Linked DNA regions of Mus musculus. The protein of the gene in region 1 interacts with the protein of each later gene in a pairwise test. Links are inferred from orthologs where the notes say so. Each region holds a gene or a part of one and is shown on either strand. Other genes may lie near its edges. The genes, in order: Mrfap1 and Brk1.

Region 1 (3,597 bases):
ACTTGTGGTTAGAAAACCAGTGAGATACATAGTTTAGATTCCTGAGAAAGTACTGTCTGATCGTAGACTAAGAATTCGGCATCTCCCCTTAAAGTTCAGTGTTGGTTGAGTAACAGTTACGCAAATGTAGTCGTCTGAGCCAACTTCTGTCCTTTCCACAGCAAGTGATCACCAACTGAATGTGACCTGGGGCCTCAGAAAGCATCAGACAATAGTTTCACCTTAGGAAGCCAGGAGCTCTGTCAGGTAAAAACACACCCAGCCACTCCGTCAATCAAGATATGATAATTCACTTAAACTAACCAAAGGGGCGGAGCTATGAGCAGGATGACTGTCCACACATGGCTTTCCAAGATTCCTCTTTCCCCAGTTTCGAAAAACTGTTTTTGTTGTTGTTGTTGTTGTTTGTTTGGTGGTTTTGATTTGTTTTGAAACAGGGTCTATGTACTGAACTCACTATGTACACCAGGATGACCTCAAACTCAAGGATCGGTCTGCCTGCCGCCTCTACCTCCCAGGTGCTGGAATTAAAGGCGGGCTCTTTTTCTTTTTTAAAAGTAAACTTGTCGGGTGCGGTGGCTCACACCTGCGACACGGGAAGCTACGGCAAGAGGACTGCCTAGAGTTCAAGATCAGTTTAAGCCAAATAATTGAGTTCCAGGCCAGCCTTGGCTACAGCGTGAGGTCCTGTTTCAAAAAGTAAATAAATAAAATCGGAATAAGATACAGGAAGGGACGAACTTCGCATCACCCAGAGCAGCTGCAAAAGCTGCGAAAGGGAGGCCGACCTAATGTCAGCGCGCGGCCGCAGAGGCGCTCGCCCCGCCCCTTCGTGGACGCGAGCGCGCCCGCCCCTTTCAGCGCGGCCGTAAAGAGGGGGCGCGGAGGTGTCGTGAAAGGGGTCGCAAAGCGCCGAGCGCTGGTTGACGGTTGAGACTCCATTTTGTTCGTCGCTCGCCCGCTCGGCAGTCACTCGTCTCCGTGGCTTCTCCGAGGCGGAAAGTTGGACCGGCGGCGGAAGTTTTGAGGACTCGGCCCGAGCTCCGTCCGTGAGGGTCGTGCAGACGAGCAGAGCAGCGGCGATGCGGCCCCTGGACGCGGTGGAGCTGGCGGAGCCCGAGGAGGTGGAGGTGCTGGAGCCCGAGGAGGACTTCGAGCAGTTTCTGCTGCCCGTCATCCACGAGATGCGCGAGGACATCGCGTCGCTGACGCGCGAGCGCGGGCGCGCGCCGGCGCGCAACCGGGGCAAGCTGTGGGAGATGGACAATATGCTGATCCAGATCAAGACGCAGGTCGAGGCCTCCGAGGAGAGCGCCCTCAACCACCTGCAGGGTGCCGGCGGCGCCGAGCCCCGCGGCCCCCGGGCGGAGAAGGCCGACGAGAAGGCGCAGGAGATGGCGAAGATGGCCGAGATGCTGGTGCAGCTCGTGCGGCGGATAGAGAAGAGCGAGTCTTCGTGAGGAGCCGGCCGCGGTAAGGGCGGGAGCCTGGCGGGGCGTGGGCGACGGTGGGGGAGGAGGCTGGCTTGTCGCCTCGGGAGTAAACTAGGCCCCCCCTGGGGAAGGAGTAATAGCAAATCGTCGGCGGGGAGACCGTGGAAGTTTCCAGATGGTGCTGGAGAGCATGGGGCCCTAAGTGAGACAGCGTCCAGAAGGGGGCCGGGTATTTGCTTTGCTGTCCGGACAGCGTGATTAACCTCTCGGTGATGAATCTCTCCCGCCCGTGCCTTAGGTTTCCAGCCAATGGATTCTGGTTGAGTGATGGCGATTGGCTGACATGACACCCTGGAGAAGCTGAAACCAGAGAGCCTTTTGTTTTCCTTTTTTTTTTTTTTTATCTCCTTCTTATTTTTTTTTCTTTTCCCCTCTGTCTTCCCTCTGTTTCTCACTGACACTACGTTTCTGCTATGGTCTGCGGTTGACGACCTCGATATGAGTTTTTGATTATTCGGTGGTTCCTTTTTTTTGTTTGTTTGGGGGAAATAACTTTGATTTGGAAAATGCGCTCACATACGGGAATTAGGGCCTAGATTGTAAGCCCTGTGGCAGTTGAATAACGTTCATTCCTGGCCTTTGGTTGTTGTTCCTAAATTTTGAGGTGCTTTGCTCTTTCTTGGGTGACCTGATAGCTCCCTGAACTTTGAATCTCTGTGACACTTGAGACTCAGAGTTGAAGCTCACCGCCTCTGAAAGTTCTGAAGGAGCTGTGTTAATTCTCGAAGACTCCATGCAGCAATGGCAGAAGAGACCAGACTTCATCCGGGACAGTGGATGGGCCTTACATGGCTAGGACTGATGACCTGGGAGAAGGGTCGGAGGATAGTATTGTTTCTATTGGGGGACTTTAATTTCTGTGTGAGACCAAAGGAGGAGAGATGTATTTTGTGCAAAATTTAAATTTTATGTGCTACACTATCTATTGTAACCTGCCTGGTGAGTTTGTTGGGACAGCCTAACTCATTTCTAAAAGAAATGGAACCTCGGATGGGAGAAGAGGTCTTGTTAGTCTGTACAAGTTGGTATCCCCATATATTCGAGGAGATCCTGGCCATAAAATGAAAGATCCTTGCAATACCCTGTGTGGCCTAGGAAGGAAAACCTGCAATGGACCCAAAACTTAAAAGAAGAGGCGTCTTAAAGGTTCATATGTAGTCGAACTATAAATGTATGAGTGGCAGACCTGATAAGCGTTTGAGGTCAAAACCCTTACCATGTTGAAAACAAAATCTTACATGTTAATAAAAGTATTCGTTTGCTTGAAAAGATCAGCCCGGAGAGTTACTAAGAAATATTAAGTGAAGTCTTCCTTCAGTGGCCTGTGTTTAGTTTAAATGAACATTCTCCAGTTTTGGGAGTCTGGGTAAGCAGAAGGGGATTTCGACTGCTGTAGGAAACGTGAGAATAGGAAAGTCTTGATTCCTAGTAGCAAGTCCACAGTCTTAGCCTCTGAGACCAGTCCTTTTACTTGCCTTTTACTTGACTCCTGTTCTTTACCAGTCTTGATGATACAACAGCAACAATGTATTGACTCCCTTCAGACAAGAAGGGCTGGGTCCCCAACTGCTGGGATTGACCCTGTGTGGCCATCATCTCATTCCTAGGTGGCCAAAGTCTAGGGCCCTCCCTTTTAAGGACACCCCACCCTAGACATCTTAGAATTCTTGTGTCTGCTGAGGGAACTGCAGCCCAGCCTAACTTCTGACTGCTCTGCATGTTCCTATCCGGGAGTGACCATTGAACCTCACGTGTATGGTTCCTTCTTGGTACTGCTGAGGCACCAGCTTCTGGGCTCTTAACAGATGCAATTGCCTTAGAACATGGCAGGGGTAAGGAAGGCTTTCCAGAGTGTTGTTTTGATAAGCTTGGCCTTGGATGAGCACAACCTCAGAAGTCAGGAAGAATGGGATAGGCCAGGCACAGGGAAATGAGACCAGACACTGGTGTGGGTTCTAGTAGTGGGGCCAAAGGTCCAGTAAGAATGTGACTCAGGAGGTAACCAACAAGAAAAGGCCATGTTTGGCACATTGCTATGTACTTTATTCAGAATTTATTTGCCACAGATAAACCTTTACTGTCCCAATGTAGCATATCGCATTGG
Region 2 (3,909 bases), on another chromosome or scaffold:
TCAAAAGATTCTGAGCCAAAACCAAAACCCTCGGCAGGAAAACTTGACTATGAGTAGCAAGACAAATGATCAGTTCTGGAAAATGCTTTAATTCAGTAAAAAGCCATCTAAAGCCATCAGGTCTACCTGCGAACATACCTGCCTTTGTCATTGAATCACATTCCTTTAATACTCCTTAAATCTAATTCTTCTGGGGACACATGAACTCTTTACTGACTACAGTTCTCTACTATAACCTCCACAGAAACTTACGGGCGTGAAGCTGTACCACTGACATATACATTTATGCTGGCCTCTCATTAGTTGGTATCTTTAACCTCCGCTCCCTGTTAAGAAAATCCATGTAAGATTATACAGAATCCTACACACTTTGTGAGCATACTTCTTTTTCCCCACGTGTAAGAGGTTTATTGGGGGGGGGGGCAAGGAAGGTGGCGGCAGAGAGAGAAGGGTGGGGGAGAGAGAGAATTCGTGAGGGTGCGTAAGGACACTTCTAATCCAGCACTTGGGAAGCAGAGCCAAAGGGCCATCACAAACTAGAGGACATCCTGATCTGTAGAGCTGCAGGCCAGCACAGAGCGACAGACAGTAATAATCTCAGGAGGGGGAGGGAAAAAATAGTTGAGGAAGGAGAACCATGAGTTGTACCAATTTACAAGACTCAAAACCAAAATGCAAAATGGAGTAGGGGACATGGAGCATGGATGGACAGATTAAGATCTCTTATTTATTGTATTTGAAGGTGGGTGTGGGCATGCACTATGTGGGGCCAGAAGACAACTTGTGACAGCTGGTTCTCTCCTTTCACCTTGTGGACCCTGAGGATTGTATTCAGGTTGGTGGCCTTTACCTGCCAAGCCATCTCAACAGCCTGAAAGAACTCTACATACAGAAAATGGATTAGTATTATTATTTACACTGATAGTCTCCCTTTATGTGTGTGTGTCATATCCCCTGGGACTAGAGCTATGGACCACTGTGAACTGCAACGTGGGTCCTGGGATTTGTACCTGGGTTCTTTGGAACTGCTTTTAACAGCTGAGCAATCTCTCGAGCCCTAGAAAATGGCTCATTTCTGTGGCTGTTCTGAGGACCAGGCTGGCCTCAAATGCATAGCACTCTTCCAGCCCTTGTCTCTCCAGTGCTAAGAGTACAGGTATGAGCCACCACATATAACAGGGAAGGGTTACCATGTTCCTCACTGCCAGCAGACCTGTGTAAGAACCAATTACGCCTGCTGATGTTTGCTTTGCTCTACCAGGCTGGACTCAAAACTCTCTATGAAGCAGATGACTTGGGAGTTCCTCCTGGTCCTCCTGCCTCTGCATCCTGAGTGCTGCTATTAAAGGCATGGTGTGTGGGTGCTAGGCCAATACTCTACAGACTAGGCATCCCCTGCCCCTTAATGATGCATTTCCAATTTCCTTTTTGTTCTCTTTTCTCAAAAAACAAAAACAAAACAAAACAAAAAACCCCCAACCAACCAAAAAACAAAACAAAACACAAAAAAAGGAGGAAAAAAAAGGAGAGAGAGAAAGAAAACTCTAAGAAGTGGGGGATGCCGGGGTCTTGTGCTTACCACTCAGGAGCCCAATCCCTGAACTACACCCCGTAATTGAAGCTACTGTTCGGTTACCTTCTATCATACTACTTAGGACTCATCGGGTCTTTAGCTAGAAAATATACGATTCACTTTAATTTTTTTCAAAATACAGCACTTTCTCCCCAAGATGCTGAAAGTTGCTAATTAGTAGAACCAAAGCACTCTAGTGAAAAAGATCACTGGATGCCATCTGCACGTCTTGTATTGTGTAAGAAGGTCCCTGAAAGAACCCTTCCGGAGACCATAAGAAGTCTGTAACAGGTTTTCAGTCCAGAAGGCTAGGAACGCACGCAGAAAGAAATCAAGACTGTCACTAGCCGGCCACACCTAGGAATAGTTTTTTGGAAAAGTGGACTCTGCTGAAACCATCTGCCCTGTAAAATCCGAGGAGCCAGACAGAAGCATCCAGAGCACCTACCATGAAGCAGATACAGGGCTAGAAAAGCCATTCCCAAGGCCCGAGCGGGCCCCATCCCTTACAACCCTCAGCACTAGCACCAAATCGAGCCGGGGATGAATGAACCTGCCGGGAGTGGTTAAACGGGAGCAATAGAAGGCATGACATCAAAGGGGTTCGGACTTCTTCCTGAAGGAGATGGACAACGAGCAGGAGTCTCTCAACAGTAAGCGCGACCGTGACCGTGACACGGCTGCGCACTGCCTGCCAAGTGAAGACTGGCACGGAAGCGCGGCGCAAACCGGGGCGGATGATGGATGGGCCTAAGAGGCTGGACAGTGGGCGTGCTGACGAGCGCAAGTGGGGCATGGCAACGGGCAGGGTAGACCCTCGGAAACGGCCCAGTGAGGCTCGGGGTGAGGGCACTGGGGCCGGCGGGCAGCCAAAGAGGAAGCGAGTAGCCAGGGCGGCGCGCCTCTCCTCCCCGCCGCCGGCCGCCTCCCAGGCCTCCCTCCTCCCAGCCTCCCCTGCTCGCCCGCTGACCGAAAGAGTTGAGAAAGTCTGAGATTTTCTTGATGCTGCTGGTGATGATCTCAATGTACTCCCGGTTCGCCCAGTCCTGGTGAATCTCCCGCTGCACCGGATCCTCTTGTCCCGCCATGGCGGCCGCCTGAGGAAGAGTGACTGCGCAGGCGCCGCGACCTCTACAGGCCTCCAGCGCGCCTGCGCCGCCAGCCAGTACCCGAGTGTTCGAGCCCCAGAAAGGGCTGGCAGAGCGACGCGCGTGCGCACTCTAATCCCTGCGCTCTAGCTTGGCTCCCACGCTGGGGTAAACAAGATTCCTCCACTCGCGATGTGAAGACTAAGAGCTACCCTGTCCCCGGTTACAAGCACCCGCTGACCACTAGCGGATCTTGTCGTTAGGGGGCGCCCACACATTCCCACCTCCGCCTAAGGGTTGCTCCAAGCTCTCTTGCACCTTGTTAGCTGTGATGGGCACAGTCCACGAATCCCGTTTATTCAGAATGCTTGTCATGCTTGGGTCACAACTCTGTTCATTCTCGTTTTCTTTTAAAATTTGTTGTTGTTGTTGTTTTTCGAGACAGGGTCTCTCTGTGTAGTCTTGGCTGTCCTTGTACTCCCTCTGTAGACCAGGCTGGCCTCGAACTCACAGAGATCAGCCTGCCTTTCCCTCCGGAGTGCTGAGATTAAAAATGTGGCCACCACCGCCAGGTTAAAATTATTTTATTCGTATTATATGTGAGCGCTTACGTGGCACAACACGCGGGCGGAAGTTACAGGACAACTTGCAGGAGTGGGTTCCTCACCTTCCATCTTGTGGGACTGAACACTCAGATCATCAGCTTCAGTGTCTTTATTGTTCGAGGTGTCCCACCAACTCTGAATCTCCATATTTACCAAATGAGCAAAATACTTTTCTTTCTTTCTTTCTCTTCTCTCTCTTTCTCTCTCTTTCTCTCTCTTTCTCTCTCTTTCTCTCTCTTTCTCTCTCTTTCTCTCTCTTTCTCTCTCTTTCTCTCTCTTTCTCTCTCTTTCTCTCTTTCTCTCTCTTTCTCTCTCTTTCTCTCTCTCTTTCTCTCTCTTTCTCTCTCTTTCTCTCTTTCTCTCTCTTTCTCTCTCTTTCTCTCTCTTTCTCTCTCTTTCTCTCTCTTTCTCTCTCTTTCTCTCTCTTTCTCTCTCTTTCTCTCTCTTTCTCTCTCTTTCTCTCTCTTTCTCTCTCTTTCTCTCTCTTTCTCTCTCTTTCTCTCTCTTTCTCTCTCTTTCTCTCTCTTTCTCTCTCTCTCTCTCTCTTTCTCTCTCTCTTTCTCTCTCTCTTTCTTTCTCTCTTTCTTTCTTTCTTTCTTTCTTTCTTTCTTTCTTTCTTTCTTTCTTTCTTTCTTTCTTTCTT

What was found.
Region 2: the proteins of Mrfap1 (region 1) and Brk1 interact in binary tests that used the Homo sapiens proteins (3 or more experiments, as listed by UniProt). The link is inferred for Mus musculus from reciprocal best matches to the Homo sapiens genes MRFAP1 and BRK1.

The regions. Positions count from the first base shown.
Region 1 is NC_000071.6:36,794,079-36,797,675, reverse strand, and holds Mrfap1 (MORF4 family-associated protein 1), read left to right. Parts: upstream 1-921; 5' UTR 922-1,082; coding exon 1,083-1,460; 3' UTR 1,461-1,473; intron 1,474-1,731; 3' UTR 1,732-2,809; downstream 2,810-3,597.
Region 2 is NC_000072.6:113,603,531-113,607,439, reverse strand, and holds the start of Brk1 (protein BRICK1), read right to left. Parts: upstream 2,669-3,909; 5' UTR 2,662-2,668; coding exon 2,544-2,661; intron 1-2,543. UniProt on the Homo sapiens protein: Involved in regulation of actin and microtubule organization. Part of a WAVE complex that activates the Arp2/3 complex. As component of the WAVE1 complex, required for BDNF-NTRK2 endocytic trafficking and signaling from early endosomes.